Linked DNA regions of Coturnix japonica. The protein of the gene in region 2 interacts with the protein of the main gene of each other region in a pairwise test. Links are inferred from orthologs where the notes say so. Each region holds a gene or a part of one and is shown on either strand. Other genes may lie near its edges. The genes, in order: HOMER3, USP2, KIFC3, NDEL1 and LHX4.

Region 1 (3,510 bases), on a different chromosome or scaffold from region 2:
GGGGAGAAACTAAATTGAATGACTGGTTGTCATGCCTGCATCTCGACCTCAGTGAAGATTTCTCCAAGGTGGAACACAGTGCACGGATAGCACAGCTCCTTCTACAGTGGAAAGAAGACAGAAATGGAAGAAGTCTAGCAGGGACTCCCCAGACACCAATGATAAGAAATCACTTTGTCTTTCTGAGACTGGCACCCAGAGACACTTGGGAGAGGAACTCCCCTGCAGCCCCAGCAAGGGAACAAAAATAGCTCGAAATGCCACGTATCTTTCCTCCTAACTTCTTCAGCCAGGCTATGTGCATTCCTGCATGTTCCTTGCCTATTACTGCCAATAACTCTAAAGAAAATAAAGCCAAAACCCACCACCACCACCACCACTAACAGAAAACCTAAGACCTCTTCCAGCATGATTTTCTCAAGACAAATGTTTAACTGACAAAGAGGGAGGAGAGTAAACCTTCCTAAGAGCTCCACTTAAGCAGTAATTATTTTATCCACTTCATGTGCTTCAGTAGAGTGACTACAGGGCCACAGATGTCATCAGAAAGAACCCCCAACCCCAGTGTCTGTCAAAAAAGCATTTGGGCCAAAAAGACAGAAGCAAAAGTTGCTAGAGGAGATCAGCACAGTGACCATTTCCCCTAGCAACCACTGCTCATGCCCGTTCCCAAGCATTACCTGGTGAGATGTGATATTCAGGGCAGGATTGGTCAGCTCTGTTTTATCCTGGGATTTCTCCCTTGCCAAACGTGCTGCCTCTTTCACTTCCTGGAACTTCTCTGCAAACTATAAGGGAGCAGAAAAGTCACTGTACTGCTAAATCAAAACGTAGAACAAATTAGAATTAATGTCTGGGTTACTCCTCCCCTCTGTTATTTCATTTTATGTGGTTTCTGTTTCATCTTCAATTAATATTTGGATTGAGGGAATAACCCCTACCTGCCCATGATTCCAGCACTCAGAAGTGTGAGAGTAGCTAGAAATAATCAGGGAGCCCTAAATCCAAATTCATTTTGTAACATTCAAATACTCTATAAAGATTACTTTCAACCTCTTCCTTGTACCTTTGTATCCTGAATCAGGTTCCAGCAGGACCCTAATGTTTTTGTTTTTATTTTTTTCCACCTGAAGCTGAACTCTCCCTTTTGGGTTTCAAGGATATTTGTCTTACAGGGATCAGGTCTCTACCAGCATCTGCCATATTACCTGGGAGAGGTGTTGCTCTGAAGCAAAGCCCAATCCATATACTGTGTTAGCTCGGCTATCCGCCCACTGTCCGAATTTCTGGGATGTCTTTGTGAAGGTCATGTTGGGAGTGATAGTGCTGTTGATGATTGCCTGTGGAGAGAGGCAAGAATGAATTAGAGAAAACTCCATTCTGCTGCCCAAGGGCGTTGTGTGGGATCACCCCAATTAGTAGGTTATCAATTCTACTAGGGTAGAAGCTCTGCTTTTAATGTATAAAACAGCTATTTGGGGTTCTGGTGATCAAAAGTCTTTCTAGTCTAGCTAAGAAATACACACAAGTGTGAATCTTCTTGTCTACTGTAGGAAAAAATAAATAAATAAGAAAGCCTGAACATTACAAGCTTCATTGGGCCTCCATTGCTGGAAGAAAAGAGAAGATGCGGAAAGTCTTTGGGGACTGAACAACTTTCTGATGTTCTCCACTTTCATGGCAAGCAGGAATTAAAAAAACATTAAGTAAAAGGCTTAAACTGCACTTAGCACAAGCTATTACAAAACACTGTTGGTTGGGGCAGTAGCACAATAAACCGCTTGAGAAGACTGTGGAATCTTTGCTGCTGGAGGTCTTGAGAAACAAGTCAGAAAAATATCAAGAACAGCTGAGGGAGAATCAGCCTTGTCTTGGGGTTAGTGGCTGAACAGACTGCCTCACCTCTGTTTGTTCATTCTGTCTACATGGGTCAGTTTTAGCACAGGATCAGGGCTCTTAGAAAGATCTCTTTTGCATGCTCAAAGAGGAAAGAGTCAAGGAGAGAGAGAAAAGAAAGCACACTAAGCACATTTCTCATTAGCAGAGGGTCTAGTGTCCAATACTGATCACATTCAAGTGTGGAGGCAGTGTTTTATCTTCCATTCCTTGCAGTAAAGACGACAGAGTGCCCCATGCTGCAAACTAATCAGTGTGACAGAGAAAGCATCAATTGCAGAACAGACACTGGTTGGAGACAAACTTGCTTTCAAACTGTGATGCTGTCAGCAAATGCTCCCTACCTTGGTGCCTCCCACACTGATGATCCGGTACACATTGCGTGTGGCATCGTAAAAATAAGAGACAGTCAAAGCATGTTTGCTGGCAGGGATCCAGTTTCTTTTGGTAGCAGGGTCTATTTGGAAAACATGGGCTCTGGTGCTGAAGATTGGCTGCTCCCTGCAACAGAGATGAACAGAGCTGTAAGAGCAGAGGGGAAGCTGAGCAATGGGGGAAGTGGACTGACGTTCTGGTACTTGCATTGCATAATGCATCACCAGTGGCACTTCTGCTATTTGCCTCCAATCTAGAGATATGTGACAGTAGGAGCTAAGCACAGCAGCTCATACAGACACAGTAACAAAGCCACCAAGGGTGTTTAACTATAGGCAGTGGTTTTTACCTTCCTCTGGATCTTCCCTTGTCCTCCTCAGTTGTCTTCACACATTCCCAAAGACCACAGTCACACCAGCAACAGTACCCCGAGATTAGCAAGCCTTACATGCACATTCACCCAGGGATCAGCATTCAACTTGCGGGTAGAAACACAAACAGGACATCGCAATCTTGTGTTCTGCTTACCAGATGGTCCTACACAACACAGCTGGTGTGGCAAAATTAAGCTAATAATTAGTGTTTACATTATGTTTAGCCTGCTTTGAAGTTTTCCTTCACTATCCCTTAGCACATAAGCATACAGTTCATGGTGACTTCACCAGCTCTGTGATTCTCTGGCTGCTATGCTGCTTGCACTACACAAGATATCTCCGAGCTGGAGCTCTGGGAAGACAGATGGATGAATAGACGGAGGATGGGTTTGGGCTGTGAACACAAGAAGTGCCTTCCCCTCAGCACAGCTCTTCCTCCCTTGACTCACGCTTGGGAAGCACATCCTGCAGTGAGAGGTCACGCTGCAGGATTAAAAGCAAGTCACTTAAGAATGAATTAAAGGAAGCACTTCACCACACAATGCGCAGCTGCTGCATGAAAGCAAGTACTGCCTGGATTTTGTAACCAGTAATATCTGAGCTGAACTAAGGAACTGAATCTCAGGCATCAGGATGTAATCTGAGCATTTCAAGAGGCAGGAAGAAATGTTTCCATGACATAACAGACCAGGTGCATCAGGGCTTGCATTTGACTCTGTCTCCATTTTATTTTGTTTTAAACCCAAGGCACTGGCCATTTCCACACTTAAATTCAGTGAAGCCTGGGGTGCTTGGATATATCCCATAACTTCTTGGCTGGGTAGAACAGCTGCAAACAAAGCATAGTCACAATCCCGTGACATGC
Region 2 (3,950 bases):
TCTGTCTGCATAGGCATAAGTGGAGCCGTAGGAGGTGTAGGAGCTGTAGCCACTGGGCATCTTGCTGTAGGTGTTCTCAGCATAGCGGGACGAGTCAACGTACCGTTTCAGTGTGGAGGAGAGCTGGGACATGCTGGAGGCTGGGGCTCAGAGGTCTTGGAAGGAGGCATGGGCTGCAAGAGAAGGGCCTGGGCTCAGCTGCATGGGCTATGACTGACACCAGACAGTGCCCACCCCAGGACCCCCACCTGGAGACCCTGTGCAGGGACCTGATACCACTGAATTAGGGCTTCACTGGGCATGGCAATGGGCACTCATGGTCAGCCGATGCCTCTGCATCATCATCCATCCCTGCTCCCTGCACGGTGCCTGGGGCCAAGCTGCAGCCACCACCCACCAGGGGGCATTGGGGACAGTGGGGACAAACAAGGGACACCGTATTGCAGCATACAGCCTGTCTGCCTGCCATGCCAGTGCCCTGCCTGCCTGCCATCAATAATTCAGCAGTGCAGGTGACCGCTGTGTCCCCGTCACCAGGCACAGCCAGCCTGCAGGGCAGTGTGACAGCCAAGCACTGGGTCCTATGGGGGGTGGTGGCTTCTCCCACACAGTGACCCATGCACAGGACAGGAGGGGGAAGGAGGCACCCGGAGCAAAGAAGGAACCAGCACAGAGTCAAAGACAGGGCAGCAAGAAACCTCCCACAAACAGGGAGGACAGCTCTCTCCTGTGCTGATGCAGGTCTCCTACCTGTCCCAGGGCTGTGCTGCCTCACATCCCTTCCCTGGCCGGACAGTGGTTCGTGTGACTCTAAGAGTCCCCTGTCACCCAGGAGATGACCCAGCTCAGAGGTTTTTCCCAGCCCTGCTGGGGCGGGCACTGGCCTCACTCCAAGGCAGCGTGGAGGTGATGGGATGGAGCCTGGCTTTATCCCTTCCATGCAGGGCACAGCTGGGCATGGGGATGGTCACCGAGTGCAAGCACCATGGGATCCTCCCTCCTCGGCCCTGGGCTGTGTCCTGGCTGCTATTGCTGAGGGAGCAGCAAGAGGAAACTATTTACAAGCGAGAGCAAGCCAGAGCGCACAGACCTGTTTGGGAACTGAGGCCGAGGGGTGAATAATCCCCTTGCAGGCAAACAAGCCACCAACACCCGGCTCTCCCTGGCCCATCCGTGCCAGCACTGGGAGGGCCCTGGAGCTGCTCTACCAGCCAGGATCCAGTGCATACTGTAGGGTTTTGCTGGGGGATGTGGGACCCAGCCAAGGACCAGCATTCCCATGGACATTGGGATGAGGGTGCTGGAGCCCTGTGGCTCCAACGGGGGCTTTCAGTCCATGGGATTAATCCCTAGAGGATACTGCCTGCCCTGGGGGTGTGGAGAGCTGATGTGCAGGGATATGGGGCTCAGGAGGGGGATCTTGCCCTGGACATAGCGGTGAACCCACTGGTATCATGGGAGGAGAGGTCTTACCATGTAGGGCTGCTGTGTCTGCTAGGATGATCTGCACCGTGCTGTCCCCATGTCATATCGCTGTGGACCCCAGGGCTGTGGGAGAGCGGAGTGTGCCATGAGCCCGAGGAGCTGAGGGGGTGTGAGAAAAACCCCGGTTCCTCCCATCGCTTCCTGACCTGCCTGGCCCCTCCCTGCCCAATAATAATGCTGAGCCTTTCTGATGCAAAGCAAAACCCTGAGGCTGGCATGGCTGAGTCAGGACTCCTGCAACCTCATCATCCTCCCTGGGGAAACTGAGGCACGGGAATGTCCGGTCTGTGGCCATGTGGCCATGAGCACTGCAGGGATGCTCATGTTGGGGAGCTCATTCCCAGCATTCCCAATAGAATCCCCATTGGTCTCCTAGGCATTGAGTGAGCTGACATTCACACTGGTGGCCCCGGTGGCAGCTTTCCCCCTTGGTGGCTGCAGAGCCCCAGGGTGAGCTCAGCTTACACAGCCCTGGCTCCAACCGAGGTGTTACGGCTCAGCTGCTTCTCACTTACGCAGGCTGTGAGCCCTGTCCCTGTGCCCTGAGACACAATGTCCCAGCCTGGAGGTTAATGCAGAGCTCCCAGCATGATGCCATAGGGGAGGCAATGGGGGGGATCCCATGTGGAACACCCTGCCCATTCCAGGCTGCTTTAGGGCTGAGGGTGCTGGGAGGGAAGCAAGGTGGGGGAGCTTTCCCCATGCAGTCACAGGTTGAGAATGCACCCAGCTCAGCACATGTGTGTTGCAGGCCTGGCGTCACTGCGCTGACACATCCCCACCTGGCTGCTCAGTGCTCCAGGGCCACCCCAAGGCAGCAAAATCCCAAACCCACAGTGGAACCCTGATGGAGGGCCCAAGGTGACTGCTTTGAGGTCTGCAGGTGGATAAAGAATAGGGAGCCTGGGGGGGGAAGTGGATGGGACATGGCTGTGCTCACCCAGGGGCCAAGTGCCAGGCATGGTCCCACCCTCTATGGAGATAGAAAAACATCTTTCCCATGGCTTCACCCCAAACAAAGGGAAAAGAGGGCAGAGTTAAGGGTCCCACTGACATCCCGCAGCCCCCTCCCCATTGCTGCTATCCCCCTGTGCTCCCTGCACTCACCAGTGGCTGCGCGCTCAGGGGTGCGAGGTTGGCACGGTGTGGGGTGAATGGAGACTCATGAGGCTGCCTTGTTTCAGTCCTCCCTCCTCGGGGTTCTTCCAGGGGCTGGAGGAGAACAGGGGGGTGTTGGGGGAGTTGTGGCAGGGTCTGATCACCCCGAGGTTCAGTTGGGAATGGTCCGGAGGGGCCGTGCCGGAGGGTTGTGGGGCAGCGTAAAAAACACACAGCAGAAATTCAGGGCTCAGGTTACCAGCTAGATAAATATAGAGTCTTTATCTGACCTCGCGGGGCGCCGAAATGCTCCTCTCGCATTCCAGCTTCAGGGAGGCTTAAAGGGGACGTGAGCCCAAGGTAAGGCCCACGGTAAGATGGGAAGGATGGGGAGGGGAAGGGGGGTTGTGGGGGTGAGTGAGGGGAGAGGGAAGGAGATGGGGGTCCAGGAGGGAATGGATTGATAAAGAGTAAGAGGGGAACGGGGAGCTGCTTTGGGTTTTGTTACATGGAGAAGAGCCCTGTGGGAGGGGGCCAGGAGCACCCACCCCTGTAACCCCATGGTGACACAGGGGGACATCAGGGCACAATCCTGGGTGCCTCTCCCTGACGCCTGACCCACCCCGTGAGCCGGCACCGCGGTGCCTGTGACTCAGCCAGCACCTGCTGACGATAATTAGGTGCGGGATGCAATTATGGTGGCATCTTCATCCCCGCTGCCCAGCTCCAGCCCCAAAACAGGGAGGGCCGATACGTCTGTGCTTGGGTGTGACTCCCAGAGGCTTCTATGGGGTCACCCATAGGGGGATATGCCCTGTGTCCAACCCCACTCCCACTCACTCCCTGCCCACTGGGCTGCCTCCACGCTGCAGGCAGGGCAGGATGGAGATGGGGTGCCAAGGGAGCCTGTGCCCATATGCCCACGGATACCTGGTGGTACCTACCCTGCACTGCCCCTCTCCCCATAGCGCAGGTGGCCCCAACCCTGAGCTCACAATGAGCCGAGAAGGGTTCTCTGGTATAGAATGGAAGCGTAGATGGGTGCAGAAGGGGGTCACCCCCCAGCAGGGCAAACCGTGCCCTCCCCCCCTATAGCCCCTCACTGCACACACATCTCCAACACACAACCTAAGGTTTTATTGTGCAGACAGAGGAAAACTCCCGGAGGACAGGTGTATTGTTGTTATCGTTATTGTTGCTTTTCGTAAGGTTGGCTTTTCTTTCTTTTTCTTTTATTTTTTTTTCTTTTTTTCTTTTTTTTTACCTTTTTTTTCTCCTTTTTTTTTCTTTTTTTTTTCTCTCCTTGACGACAAGCTGTGGAAACAACTACAAATGTTCACAAAAAGAATGAGACTTGGGAGACGTGT
Region 3 (4,197 bases), on a different chromosome or scaffold from region 2:
GCAGGGCGAGCAGCAGGACGCGCAACCCGCAGGGCACCCCACGCCCCTGCAGCTCTGCAGCTCGCTCCCGCTCCCCGGCCGCGCAGCAATGCGAAGAATGCGGGCTTGCCGGTTCCTCCCCCCGCCCCTCCGCGGAGCTGGGCGCTACTCACGCTGCAGGGGCAGCTCCCGGCCCGGGCGGGCTGCCGGCATGGCACGGGGGGTCCCCGGCTCCGCGACCCCTCGGCTGCCGCAGGGAGAGCGACTCGGCACCTCGCAAAGTCCGCCGGTCCCGCTCCGCACCCCGGTCCCTCCCACCGCCGTCCCGCACACAAAGGGAAGCCCGGCCCGGCCCGGCCCCGCCCGCTCCCGGTACCGCCCGCTCCCGGTTCCCTCCCGGTGCCGCTCACCGGCCGCCCGCTGCGGCTCCGCTCCCCGCCCCGGTCCCGCCCACCCGGGCGTCGGCACCGGCTGCTCCGCCCCGGTTCGTTGCCCTGGTAACGCCCGGGACCCCCGACGGGCGGCGGTGCCTGGGGGATGCACGGCCCCGCAATGCCACTCTCAGCCCCACGTAGCCCAACTCTGCCACTCAGCCCCTTACAGCTGCTCGTAGTCCCACACAGCCTCTCTCAGTCCTACAGAGCCCCATATAGCCCCTCTCAGCTGTACATAGCCTCACACAGCCCCGACCTGCCCCTCTCAGCCCCTTAAAGCCCCTCATAGCCTTATCCAGCCCCCACAGCCCCTCTCAGCCCCATATAGTCTCTCTCAGCCCCACTGTGGGTGCTGTAGGTGTTCACGCAGGGCTCCCCGTGTCCGTGCAGCGGCTGCCGCTGGTTCAGCGATGACACGGGCGGACACGAGGTGACTGTAAGCATTCCAGCAGCGACTCTAAATGTCGTATTGTCACTGCCTTAATTTACGAGCTGTGAGGGCAAAATAATGTTTATGCAAATAGCTCTGGGCGTTAAGTCATTTCCTGTCCTTTGAATGCTTCAGGTTTTTTGATGGCATTGCAATTATGCAGCGGGCGTACGTTGCGTCAATTGCATCGAGAAGAGACTAAATGGGTGAGGGGAGATGGACGGCTCCCAGAGCAGGACCCCAATGCACCAGGAGATCTGGGTGCCCACCGGGCCGGTGGGGTTTATCCTAAGGATGGTACTCGGGGCTGAGCATGGAAATCCCGACCCTCAGGGCTCTTTCGCATTGGAAGCAGCCCCTCTATCACCCTCATATTGCGCGAGCAATAGGGCTGCCCCCCCACCCCCCTCTCTCCAGCCCCAGCTCACTGCGTGCTGCCTTTGCTTTCTCTCCACGTTCCAACGCGGCGCCGCGGGCTCTGCCCTTCCTTTTAGAGCAGCTCTTTCCCCGTCTGCAAAGCATCCCTCCTCGCTGCCAGCCTGGGAGCAGACATCCGAGTGCCGGCCCGGGATCAATGAGCGCTGGGAGAGCAGCAGGAGGGCGGCCAGCCCCGCTGCCACCTCCTGTGCGTGTGTATGCAATGAGGGATCGGCTCAGCCAGGCGGCTTCATTCCCATTTCCCCCCTATTTGCCCACGAGTGTGGATGGAGGGAAGCCCCATTGATTGTGCCGATGGGGGCCCTTTGCATTTGCAGTCTGCTCTGCCCCGAGCAAATATTTAACCTACATCTGTAACACCTCGGGGGAGATGGGGGGAAAATACGATATCCTGGCCAAAGTTTAACCTCCCCCTCCATTCCCTTCCAGCAAACTGATGGCAGGAATGCAGGCGTGGGCACACCTGGGTGCTCTCTGTAGGAAATTCCCACCGGGAGGATCATCAGATGGAGCGAGAATCATCCCCACAGAGCAATTAATGATAACGCAGCTCAGTGCTGTAACTCCACTCCTCCCTGAGAGCCCCAGTGAGGGGATCCCCGTGCTGAGCCCACAGGAGCAGCTAACGAAACCCCACAGTCCCTCGTTGCCATCTGAGCTCTTTAACGAGTTTTAATTAAGTCTTAGTGTGCTCCTGAGAAATTTGTACTCGTTTCCAAGTTCACAGTGGGAATTAACCCAACCCGCAGGCAGCGATGCTGAGATAGGGCAGCACTCAGGTGACCCGGAGCTGCCCCCACTCACCCACCCAACATCAGCAGCCCTGTCTTTTTCTCCTGCTGTGCAGCTGGAGGGTCCCTGCAGGGCCTGGCCCCATCCCTGCCCTTCTCCCCAGGAGCTGAGCCAGGAGGTGCAAATACAGGCAGAAAGGATGGCAGCGGTCTCCTTTAAAAAAGGCATCCCGTCCTCGGCGAAGCTGTCTATTTTTAGTGCCCTCGGAAGCACGTTTGGTTTTGGAGGAGACGCTCAAGCAGTAATTGTGAATAATTTAGGGAACTGAGTTTGGAGGCTGATGTCAGCAGCCGTGCCACTAAGGGACACTGAGTGCGTGGCTTTGGCTGCTCAGAGCTGAATCCCACAGGGACACGCAGCCATAGGAGCCTCTGTGGGAAGAGCAGTGCTGCTGTGCCCTTCTGGAAGGGGAGAGCAATGGCACAGCTCTGTCGCCTCCCAACTGCTCGGCCTGCAAACTTACCCTGCCATGCATTATTCACAGCTCTCATCTATAATGCACAGCCCTACACCCGCACCTGGAGCTGCATGGCGATGGATGGACACTGCAGCTCACTGCCATCGCTCCCACCCCATGTCTCTCACCTGGGGGCCGGGCCCTGCTGCCCACCGCCTCGCTCCTGGCAGTCCCCTGGTGCTCTGCAGAGCCACGCTCCTCCATTTGCTGTCCTTAGTCCAGCCCAGCACTGAGAGTGCAGCCAGAGCACCCAGCGCATGCATGGCACTGCCTGCTCCCCAAAGGGCCCCCAGGGCGGCTGCTGCAGAGCAACTCTGTCTGCAGTGGAGGAGAAAGCGACGTCTCCTCTGCTCCTGTCTGCCGGTGCCTTAAGAGCAGATTAAAACCCAGCCCTGCAAATTGCTGACACAACCTATTTCTTAGATGGGTGGACAGGTGGACTTTTCTCCCTCTGCAGATAACAGTGCTCAGATGGCAGCACGTTTGCTCCCTGAGTGCAGCCATCCACCCCAGGGTCTCAGGAACACCCAAACCTTTCCTGTTCCTGCAGCAGGAATGACACAGAGCCCCATTTCCCTCCCATCAACCCGCACGTGCAGGCTGTCTGAAGGCAGCCAGGAACGGTGAGAGCAGGGAGATTTGCAAAGCAAACAGCGATCAAACAAAAAGGCTTTGGTTACTGTTCTCGAGGCTGTTTGCCAAGACACACAGATCATATCGGGCTCATTTACAGAAGGAAAACCAACGTAATTAGCGCACAGGAAAACACTTTAATGAAAAGAGCCTTCGTGTAAAAAGCGATGGGACACTGCCCAGTGCTGCAGCAGGACCCAGAGCCATGCTAATGCTGCATGTCCCAGCTCAACATGGTCACACCGCTGTGCTGCATGCACTGCAGCAGGCAGTAACCATGGCAGCAGAGAGATCTGCACGTGATAGCAGCATTTCTGCAGTACAAAGGAGCCTCTTATCTGGGCTGAGCCAATCGCCAGGCTGCTGCTCATTCTTCCACCTTGTGCTAGGACAGAGCCGTGCCATGTCATGCCATCCTATGCCATCCCATGTTGTGCCATGCCATGCTACGCTATATTCTGCCATGCTGTGCCTCGCCATCCTGTGCGATCCCATGTCATGCCATCCTATGCCATGCCATCATATATCATTCCATGCCATGCCATCTTATGCTATGCCACCCTATGCCATTCCACAGCATGCTATCCCATGCCACACTATGCCATACCACCTTATTCCACCCCAGGTCATGTCACTCCATGCCATGCCATCTTGTCATCCCATACCATACCATTTTATGCTATGCCATTCCACACCATGCCATATCACCCCATCCTATGCCATACCATCTTATGCCATTCCATGCCATTCTGTCCTATGCTATTCCATCCCATGCTATGCCATCCTATGTCATGCTCTTCTATTCCATGCCATCTTATGCCATCCTATATCACTCCATTTCATGCCATGCCATCATATGTAATGCCATGCCACCCCATCCCATGCTATGCCAAACCATCCTATGCCATCCTGTGCCATGTCATGCCCTGTTGTGCTGTGCCATGTGGTTCTAGTGGGTCCCAGCCCGGGGCTGGCAATGTGTCCCTATACAACAGCCCCTCTACTTCATCTATCACTTTTCTGGTTGTTTTTGC
Region 4 (4,201 bases), on a different chromosome or scaffold from region 2:
TTAGTGAAGTTTGTAACCTACAAGCTCCAGTTTTTAGGAGCAATCATAGTGTGGAAATACTGTTCCAATTTAGGTGCAGAGTCGCTCTGTCCCACTGACTGTGTAATGGGCGCCTGAAAGGAGCCATCGCATTTTGAACATAGCTCTTGTTGTAGAGCTGCTCGGATCTGGAGTTCTGCCCGTGTAACTGAGTTTTCCCAGGGTGCTGAGTGAATGCTAAGCTGTGTTGTAATGAATTCTGAGTGGGCATCCACATGAGCCTGCTCTCATTTTCCCTGGAAGACGCTGCTGCATTGTCTTGTCTGCTCCTGAAAGCCCCAGTGTTGTTTGTCAAAGGCCCGATTCTGCAAATGCCACGTATACAGAGGAGCTTCTGAATGGGAAGGGCTTGTGCTGGGCTCAGCTCTGCACAATGCCTGCAGCCAATGCAGCCAACAGTGCGCTCAGCACGGCGCTTTGTATCCAGCTCTTGGCATGCCGTGGGCATCCACTGTCCCACGCATGGTCAGGGTTGTGTTAGATTCTCTTAGTGCTGTGGAGCTGCTTTTTGCCCCACTATGGGCAACGGATGGCAGAAGGGAAAGGTGCAGGTTGGGAGCTGTCTGTGTCTCCTAACCCTCAAAGCAGTATTTATGGTTCTGACCAGCTGTGGATGATGTGAGCCTGCTCTCATCTTTCTCTTGTCCCCCAGGCATGGGAGAGAAGACAGACAGTAAAAGCTTGTCTGCAGGAGTGCTTAGCTGGCATGTTGGCATGAGCATCGGATGGAGGTGTTTCTGTAGTGAGGTTGGTGGATCAAAACTCAGTGGTGGCAGCATTAGGTGTGATGGAAAACACGGAGCGTGGGGAGCTGTGAGCTGTTGCTGTATGATGAGATGGACAAGGCTGGGGCACTGCCTATGGCAGGTCTGCTCTGTCCCTCTGGGAGGTGGCTTTGGAGGAAGAGTGGGGCTCTGATGAACATGGGGGTCCCAGCACTGCTGGCTGCTGGCTGCTGCTTGCAGGGTGTTGGTTCCAAGGGTGTGTCTTGTGCAAGCAGACAGGAAGGAGTCTTGGACCCAGACACACGTTATCGTGGCTGCTTCTAGGAAATGATGTAAGGCACTTCCTCGTACTGACTTTTCTCTGAATTCAGCTTGATGGGTGGTTCCTTGGTTGTTTACCTTTAGACACAGCTGTGGGGCTGACCCTGTTCAATGCGGTGCTTCATTTAATGAGGTGAAAAAGTGATTCTGGCTGACTTGAGAGTGCCAGCTGAGAGCCAAGAGCCTTGTGACTTCTGCTGAGGTGGTTTCAATGTGATTGGTGTGGGACTGATGTTATGGACAGCACGCAGCAGTAATCAACTGCTCACCTCTTCCTCAACCCACAGATCTGCATAGCAGTTCAGGAGCTGCTTGACGTGTGCCTGAGCCACAGCAGATGTCTGCCTGCCTTAATGCATCAGCCTGTGAGACACTGGCAGCTCAGGAGGTGATTCATGGGCTCTGCATCCACTGTAAACACAGCTGATTTGTTCCTGTTGTCATTAAACTGCCTTGGTAACAGGTGCAATAACTGAAGCACATACACCCCAAGAGATTTTCATCTGAAGAGATACAGCAGGACTGTGGTGCTGGGGGGAATGGTGGTGCCTCCTATTGTTTTATTCTCAGCTCAGGGCCGTGTAGAAAAGGAGGCATGGTCAGTTGGCTCAGGCAGCATGAAGGCCTGGTTCGTCACAGAGTGCTACTGCAGCACAGCTGTAAGTTAAGTAAAGACAGAGAGAGAGCTGAGGGTTTTTGGATGTACTGAGCACCCTGCAGGTAAGGTTGGTTTCATGCCCTGGGTTGTAGCAGCTGCAGAGCAGTGTGCCAGTTTGGCTGTGCTTTAGGTGTGAGCCAGAATGGATGGGCTGCTGTGCCCTCTGATGGGAGTGCTGTCATCATATTGTCCCACTTCTGGGTGTCTCAAATGTGGGTCACTGAGATGCAGAGCATGACAGTGTGACACTTTCAGGCCTGGAGGGACAGCATTGGCTATTGATGACTGTCAGTATGTGAAAGTCAAGGCTTCTAGGTCATCTGCAGTGATTAATCTGCTGTGACGAGCTTGGTACAAACATTGTTTAAAGCCTCTGCAACAGAAGTGAGTTTCAGCTTATTCTTTTCTGGAGATTTATGATCTATTTTAAATGGTGTTTTCTGGAGAGGAAGAAAAAAAATGGCTACCTGTGAGTAAGAGGGAGCTTGGAAATGGAATGGAGCTGCCTGGGGCTGGGAGCTGGGCCTGGCTGAGTGTATCCCTGGGTGCTGCAGTGAGTGCAGGTCCACCACCAGCACTGCTTCATCCTCATCGTCATCTTCAGTAACATCTGAGGTCTGGTGTGTGGGGTGCTCTCGTGTGCAGTCATAGTGAACAGTGTTTGTACTATGCACTGTAGGAAAAACCTTTTACAAATCCAAGTGGAAACTGTGATAGCTGTAAATCATTACCCCTGGTGGTCCTAAATGAGCCAGTGGCTTTAACTGCTGTTTCCATGGTCGGTGAATGATACAGCCCAATTTTGTGGTCTCTTTTTCAGGCTGCTGCATGAGCGTTTCCAGAGGTTGGAGACCATGATGTTACTTGTTGCAGCTGGTCTTTGCTCAGAGGTGGCTGTTAGGAATCATTAACATTCTGCAGGCCAGTCTCAAGTCTGTTTGCTCCTGACAGGCCACAGCTTTGAAGTACAGCAGCAGTGGGGGGTTACTCTGCCTGCCTCATCATACTAAGCGTTTTCTTATGTCTGCATCCTACAGGTCATATTGAACATGGACAGTGAGGAAATTCCAACCTTCTCAAGTCCAAAAGAGGAAACTGCCTATTGGAAAGAGCTTTCCTTGAAGTACAAACAAAGGTACTGTTGGATATTTTCAGAGTGGATTTGGTTCTAGATGACTGAGAATGTAGCTTAATCTATTTCTCTGCTAGACTTTAATCAAAATGAGCATTAGATGTATTAAAATGAATCTCACCATTTCCAGCTTTAGGTGCAGCTTTTAGATCCAGCCTTGTGCAGGCTGAGTATTTCATTCTCAGTGTTACTATGCCATGAACTCAAGACTGAGCACGTTAGAGCAGGAGAAGAGCTCTTCTATGATCATGTGTATGTTTGTATAATTAAAATGCTGTCTTAAGTACTAGCTTGATGTTTTGCAGTAGGAAGACTGCCTGTGGGTTTGCCTGGTATCATTACTGTTCCCTCAGGCTTCTTGCACTTGGTCTGAGAAGTTTCTTATTTGGTAGCTGGCTGCAATATGTTGAAGCACATTCATTATAGCTCATAGTTCTGCCTGTGTTTGCCTCTGCCATCTTTTAAGGGGAGCAGAAGGCTTTTTGGTTACAAAAAGTGGCAAGAGAACTTGTTGTCTTGTGTGCTGCTTGTGGTTTGTTGTGGGGAGGGGAGTCAGTAGTGGTGGTTTCCTGCTCATTGCCTTTGGAGAGCTTTACTTGCACTCTATGTTAGTGTGCAATAGAAGCAAAGCCAGCTAAACCTCTCTCAAGTCCAAGGAGCCCAGTGTGCAAGCTGTTGTTTTGTTTGGGTCTGTTTTCTGGGTGTAGGGAACAGAGGGTGGGCATTTGAGATCCCTGAGCTGTATGAGAAAAGTCTGTCAGGTCTCTCTGAGGCCAATGAATATGTAGCTTCCTAAATATCATCAGTTTTCTCTGCTGGTTGCAAAGAGTTGAGCTATTACGTATGGTAAAGATGAGAGTGTAATTAGTGAAATATGTGGAGTTGCTGCTTCTAGTAATTTAATACCTTGCAGTGGCATAAGGTGGGTAAATGCTGGCTTCCTACCAAAGCACTTAGTAACCCTGAGATCCAAACCTTAATGCTTTCCAGCAAACTTATATTTCCAGGTAGTGCTGAGATGCAGTGACTATTGTTCTGTGCTGGTTTTTGCCTAAAGCAGGTTAAAAGCTTTACTTAGTGACTCTCTCAAGGCTGCTAGAGTGAAGGCTAGTGGGGTACCAAGTGTCAGACTTGCAGGAATCCTGGAAATAGCCTTGATATAGGTTGTATTTGCATGTGTATTGAATAGAGTTATTTGATATAAAGGGCTGAATTTCCATTTGTAGGTAAACAATGCAGTTTCTCTGTTTCCCCCAGTTTTTACTTTCCCTGTAGAGGTCCCTGGTTAAGTACTTTAAAACTCTTGGTGCTTTTTCACCTAATTAT
Region 5 (4,303 bases), on a different chromosome or scaffold from region 2:
ATTCCCTAATAGAATTTGCCCTCAAGTGCAATTTAATTTTCCTGGGCCAGCCGCCCCCCCGGCTCGCTGCCGCCCGCCGCTTCCTTTCTCCCCTCTTTCCTTTCCCACCTCGATGCAGGCAGGAGCCTCTCCGGCCATAAAATAGCGGGGCTGGGGATTGTGGTGGGGGGGACACCCTTCATGTCTGCTAAACCCCTATTAAAATTAACAGCGCCCTGCTCGGCACAACCCGCGTTCTCCAGCCGCCGGTAAGTGTCCGCTCTGTGATTTCTCCATGCAATGGGGGTGGGATGCGGGGGGTCCGGATACCTCCTTCCCACTTGGGGGGGGGGGTGAAAGGGATGGGATTATCCAACCTTGACGCCTTCTCAGGGCACCGGGGGGAATGAGCCCCAAAGCGATTCGAAGGGGAATAGATGGGCGAGGGGAGGGAGGTGCGTGAGGGAACGGAGCGGGGCGAGGATAGAGGTGATGCGTGGAAGGTGCTGCGGGGGTCATGGGGCACCAGTGCGATGCGGGGATGGGTGATGCAGATGGCGGCAGGGAGGGGGTCCGTACCGATATGCGGAATGAGAACGGAACCCCCTCGGGAGAAGGGGACGCGTTGGGGCAGAAGGATCCATCGGAGCCCTCCGGAGCGGGGGGGGCAGAGCGCCGTGACTCCGGCAGCGGCGTTTGGAGAACGGCCTGGGAAAGGGATGGGGGACAGGGATGGGGTAAGGGATGGAACTAAGGGATGGGGGTAAGGGATGGGGCTAAGGGATGGGGTAAGGGATGGGGTAAGGGATGGGGGTAAGGGATGGGGGTAAGGGATGTGGTAAGGGATGGGTACAGGGATGGGTACAGGGATGAATACAGGGATGGGTACAGGGATGGGTACAGGGATGGGTACAGGGATGAATACAGGGATGAATACAGGGATGGGTACAGGGATGGGTACAGGGATGGGTACAGGGATGCCCTCCTGCCCGCAGGTCCCATTGCTCCGTGCGGCTCCTCCCGCCCCGCAGAGCAGCCCCTGGCCGGGCAGATCCGCTGCCGGGCTGTGTCAGTGCCCGGCCCCGCTCCCCGCGGGAGATCTGGGGGGTTTCGTCGTTCCCGCGCCCCGCTCACCGGCACCGACCGGCCCCAGCCCTTCGGCATCGCCCCGCTCTGCGTTGCCCCTCTGCTCTCGGCCGCTCACGGCCCGGCTGCCCGGCGCCATGTCCCGACAGCCCCATGTCGCGATATCTCCGTCCACGCTCCGCAGGTTCCGGACTCCCGGGGCGTGGCGCGCTCAGGCCCCGCCCCTTTCATTCAAGCCACGCCCACAACCACTACGCCCCGCCCCTTTCTGCCCTCAGGCCCCGCCCCCTAAGGCGTGCGGCGTGCGGTGATTGGCGGAGAGCGGCAGGCCCCGCCCCCGGCCCCCTGCGGGCGGTGACGTCAGGCGCGCTCCCCGCAGGGCAATGAATGGGAGGCGGGCGGAGCTGCCGGCACAGCTGCGGCACCGCAACGGGCCGCAACCGGCACCGACACCGACACCGACACCGACACCGGCACCGGCACCGGGACGGCTCGGCTCCAACTGGTGCTGCTCGTGTCCGGGGCCCGGCCCGCTGCCCTCTCCCTGCCCTCTTCTCTCCCCTCTTCTCTCCCCTCCGTCGCCCCCGGGCCAATAAAATGATGCAAAGCTCAGCGCTCGCTGCCGAAGGGGCTGTCAAGGGGCTGCCGGAGATCCTCGGGGTGCCGGTACAACGTAAGGACGCGTTTCTCTTCCCCGTTCCCTCCCCGTTGTCCCCCGGTCGCGTTTCCCACCCTTTCGTTTCCCCCCGTGTTCTGCTCGGTGAAGCCGGGGGGGCCCGTCGGGGCGGTCGGGGCGGCTGTGCGTGTGCACGGGGCTGCAGCGGTGCCCCCGCTGTCGCTGTATGTCGCGACACGAGGCCCCGAGCCTCCTCCGGTCTGTCGGTGCGAACATCCATCGGTACGTGCTGCAGAGCTACAGGTGGCGAGGAGCCGGGTGCCCCCCCCGGGAGGGCCGTGAGCGTCCGGCTGTATGCGGGGACACCGTGCGGGTGTAATGGGAGGGGGGGAGGGTGCGAGCAGTGCCGGTCTCGGTTCGGTTCTATTTGTTATCGTTGTTAGCGTTTATGATTCGCATTCGTGTTTATTATCGCCGTTATCATCGATTATTGCTTTCACGGTTCCCCCTCCCCCCACACCCCGTTCGTAAACGGTTCCGGAGAAGCGGAGCGTCCCGCTGTATCGGGGGGGTCCGGTACTGGGAGGGGGCAGTGCCCCATCCGCACCCCCAGCCCGATGTGGGGCTGTCTCTCTGCTTCTGCCCGCAGCAGGGAGCAGCGAACGAGATGTTCTTCTCGTGTATTTCAGCGCAACAAATCGGTGGTGAAATAGCGGTGTTTGTGCTGCCGAAGTTCCCGTGGTGCTGCTGGATGGGGGGGTGGAGGGGCTGCATGGGGCCGCCTCTCAGTGCGGGCTGCGGGGCTCCGTGGGGACTGGGGGGGTCAGCGGAGGCACCGTGTCGGAACCCCCCCATGCTATAGGGAAACCGTGAGGTGAGAAATAGGGGCATCAGTGCGGGGCCTCTGGCCGGGATCCGGAGACAGGGAGAGGGGCTGCTATCCCCTCCTCCCCCCCACCTCCCCCCAGGTCTGCTCTATCATTATAATAATATTTTATTCTTTTTATTTGGTTTTATTTTACCCCCCCCCCCCCCATCCCCATCCCCATCACGGCTCACAGCGATGAGCTCCCTTTGCCGTTCTCGTTTCCCATCGCTGTGAGATCGCATTTCTCGGCCCCCGCACCCGCACAGCTCCTTTCTGCCTTAACCCCGACATTCTGCATCGACTTCAGCTCAGCGTTGGGGAGCCGAGAGCTGCGGGGTGGGCCTATAAACCCCCCCACGGCCAGCGCTAATTGACACCCTCATTAACAGCGCTATTTCTTTAGGGGCAGGTGGGCAAACGTGCGGCAAAGCTTTTGCCGTACCCAAAGTAATGCCTAAAGCACCTTCCCGAAATAATAATTAATAATAATAACAATAATAAACGAATGCATCGATAGGGCGATCATGAGAAATAATAATAAGAAGAAGAAATAAGAGAGAAATCGATCTCTGTAGATGGAATAAAACCAACGGGCTGTGCTGCCAACTCGCAGTGCAGTGGGGGGGAGTGGGGCCGGATTGGCCCCTGTGTGTTTATATATATGTATGTATTTATATGTATATGTGTGTGAATATATATGTGTGTGTATATATGTGTGTGTATGCATGCATATATCCACATGCATACACACATGTGTATATACATGTGCATCTGTACGTGTGTTGATCTGTGTACACACAGATGCGTGTGTATATTTATCAGATCAAATGAAATGATCCGAACTACTGGAAAACAAACCTAAACACGCCTTTATTTCAATAGCTGTTTGTCCACGTTCCGATCTCTTTCCGGAGCTGTTTGGGGCAGATATGGCGATACACACCGCGGCTGGTTCCGTTCCCGACGCTCGGAGGTGCCGCTGCCTCCAGCGCTGCGCGTCCCCGCATGGCTGCGCCGGACGCGCTCCGTTCCCCCCCCCTCTCTTTCATCCGTCCGTGGGGATAACGCAGGGGGTTCTGTCTCCCCTCGTTGCCGTGGGGGGGTCCCGTGGGATCGGCGGCGTCTCCGTTCGGTGCCGTTTGTTGATGCCCCCCCCGGGGCTGGGGGTCACCCCGCTGCCCCACCGCCGGGCCCCGCCGCCTGCACCGCCCCGCTGCGATCGGCTGCTGCGCCCTTTGCCTTCACCCCTTTTTCTTTCCCCTTTTTCCTTTCCTCTCTCCTGCCATTATCGATCTTTTTTCCCTTATCGTTGCGTTTCTTTTGCCTTTTTCCTCCTCCCCCCCCTCCCCCCGTCCTTTTTTTTTTTTCCCCCCACTTTTCCTCCCATCCCTTCTTTTCATTTCCTTTTTTCGTTCTCTTTTGCTTTCTTTCCCCCTTTTATTTCTCTTTCCTTTCCCCTTCTTCTCCCATGTTAATTTCCTCCCTTCCCTTTAGTTTCTTCCTCTCCGTCCATTCATTTCCCTTTTCCTTTTCCGTTTTTCTTTTCCTTCTTTCATTTTTTTTGCCTTTTCCCCTTTAATTTTTTTACATTTCTTTTCTTTCTTTACCCTTTTATTTCCCCCTTCTCTCTGCTTCCCTTTCCTTCCCCCGTTTCTTATTTCCTTCCCTTTATTTCGTTTATTTCCTTTTCCTCCCTTCTTCCCTTTCCCTTTTTATTTTCCTTTCTGCCTTTTTCCTTCTTTTCTTTTCTCTTA

The links.
Region 1: the proteins of USP2 (region 2) and HOMER3 interact in binary tests that used the Homo sapiens proteins (3 or more experiments, as listed by UniProt). The two-hybrid records come from large-scale screens. The link is inferred for Coturnix japonica from reciprocal best matches to the Homo sapiens genes USP2 and HOMER3.
Region 3: the proteins of USP2 (region 2) and KIFC3 interact in binary tests that used the Homo sapiens proteins (3 or more experiments, as listed by UniProt). The two-hybrid records come from large-scale screens. The link is inferred for Coturnix japonica from reciprocal best matches to the Homo sapiens genes USP2 and KIFC3.
Region 4: the proteins of USP2 (region 2) and NDEL1 interact in binary tests that used the Homo sapiens proteins (3 or more experiments, as listed by UniProt). The two-hybrid records come from large-scale screens. The link is inferred for Coturnix japonica from reciprocal best matches to the Homo sapiens genes USP2 and NDEL1.
Region 5: the proteins of USP2 (region 2) and LHX4 interact in binary tests that used the Homo sapiens proteins (3 or more experiments, as listed by UniProt). The two-hybrid records come from large-scale screens. The link is inferred for Coturnix japonica from reciprocal best matches to the Homo sapiens genes USP2 and LHX4.

What each region holds. Positions count from the first base shown.
Region 1 is NC_029543.1:2,751,238-2,754,747, reverse strand, and holds part of HOMER3 (homer protein homolog 3), read right to left. Parts: intron 2,398-3,510; coding exon 2,241-2,397; intron 1,341-2,240; coding exon 1,209-1,340; intron 789-1,208; coding exon 681-788; intron 1-680. UniProt on the Homo sapiens protein: Postsynaptic density scaffolding protein. Binds and cross-links cytoplasmic regions of GRM1, GRM5, ITPR1, DNM3, RYR1, RYR2, SHANK1 and SHANK3.
Region 2 is NC_029539.1:3,556,357-3,560,306, reverse strand, and holds the start of USP2 (ubiquitin carboxyl-terminal hydrolase 2), read right to left. Parts: upstream 2,807-3,950; 5' UTR 2,593-2,806; intron 1,549-2,592; 5' UTR 1,474-1,548; intron 174-1,473; 5' UTR 133-173; coding exon 1-132. UniProt on the Homo sapiens protein: Hydrolase that deubiquitinates polyubiquitinated target proteins such as MDM2, MDM4 and CCND1. Isoform 1 and isoform 4 possess both ubiquitin-specific peptidase and isopeptidase activities.
Region 3 is NC_029526.1:1,981,517-1,985,713, forward strand, and holds the start of KIFC3 (kinesin-like protein KIFC3), read right to left. Parts: upstream 2,809-4,197; 5' UTR 2,794-2,808; coding exon 2,659-2,793; intron 1,353-2,658; exon of another isoform or gene 1,272-1,352; intron 455-1,271; exon of another isoform or gene 390-454; intron 347-389; exon of another isoform or gene 153-346; intron 1-152. UniProt on the Homo sapiens protein: Minus-end microtubule-dependent motor protein. Involved in apically targeted transport. Required for zonula adherens maintenance.
Region 4 is NC_029533.1:1,496,338-1,500,538, forward strand, and holds the start of NDEL1 (nuclear distribution protein nudE-like 1), read left to right. Parts: upstream 1-1,394; 5' UTR 1,395-1,422; coding exon 1,423-1,473; intron 1,474-2,780; coding exon 2,781-2,878; intron 2,879-4,201. UniProt on the Homo sapiens protein: Required for organization of the cellular microtubule array and microtubule anchoring at the centrosome. May regulate microtubule organization at least in part by targeting the microtubule severing protein KATNA1 to the centrosome.
Region 5 is NC_029523.1:5,732,727-5,737,029, forward strand, and holds the start of LHX4 (LIM/homeobox protein Lhx4), read left to right. Parts: upstream 1-1,502; 5' UTR 1,503-1,662; coding exon 1,663-1,738; intron 1,739-4,303. UniProt on the Homo sapiens protein: May play a critical role in the development of respiratory control mechanisms and in the normal growth and maturation of the lung. Binds preferentially to methylated DNA.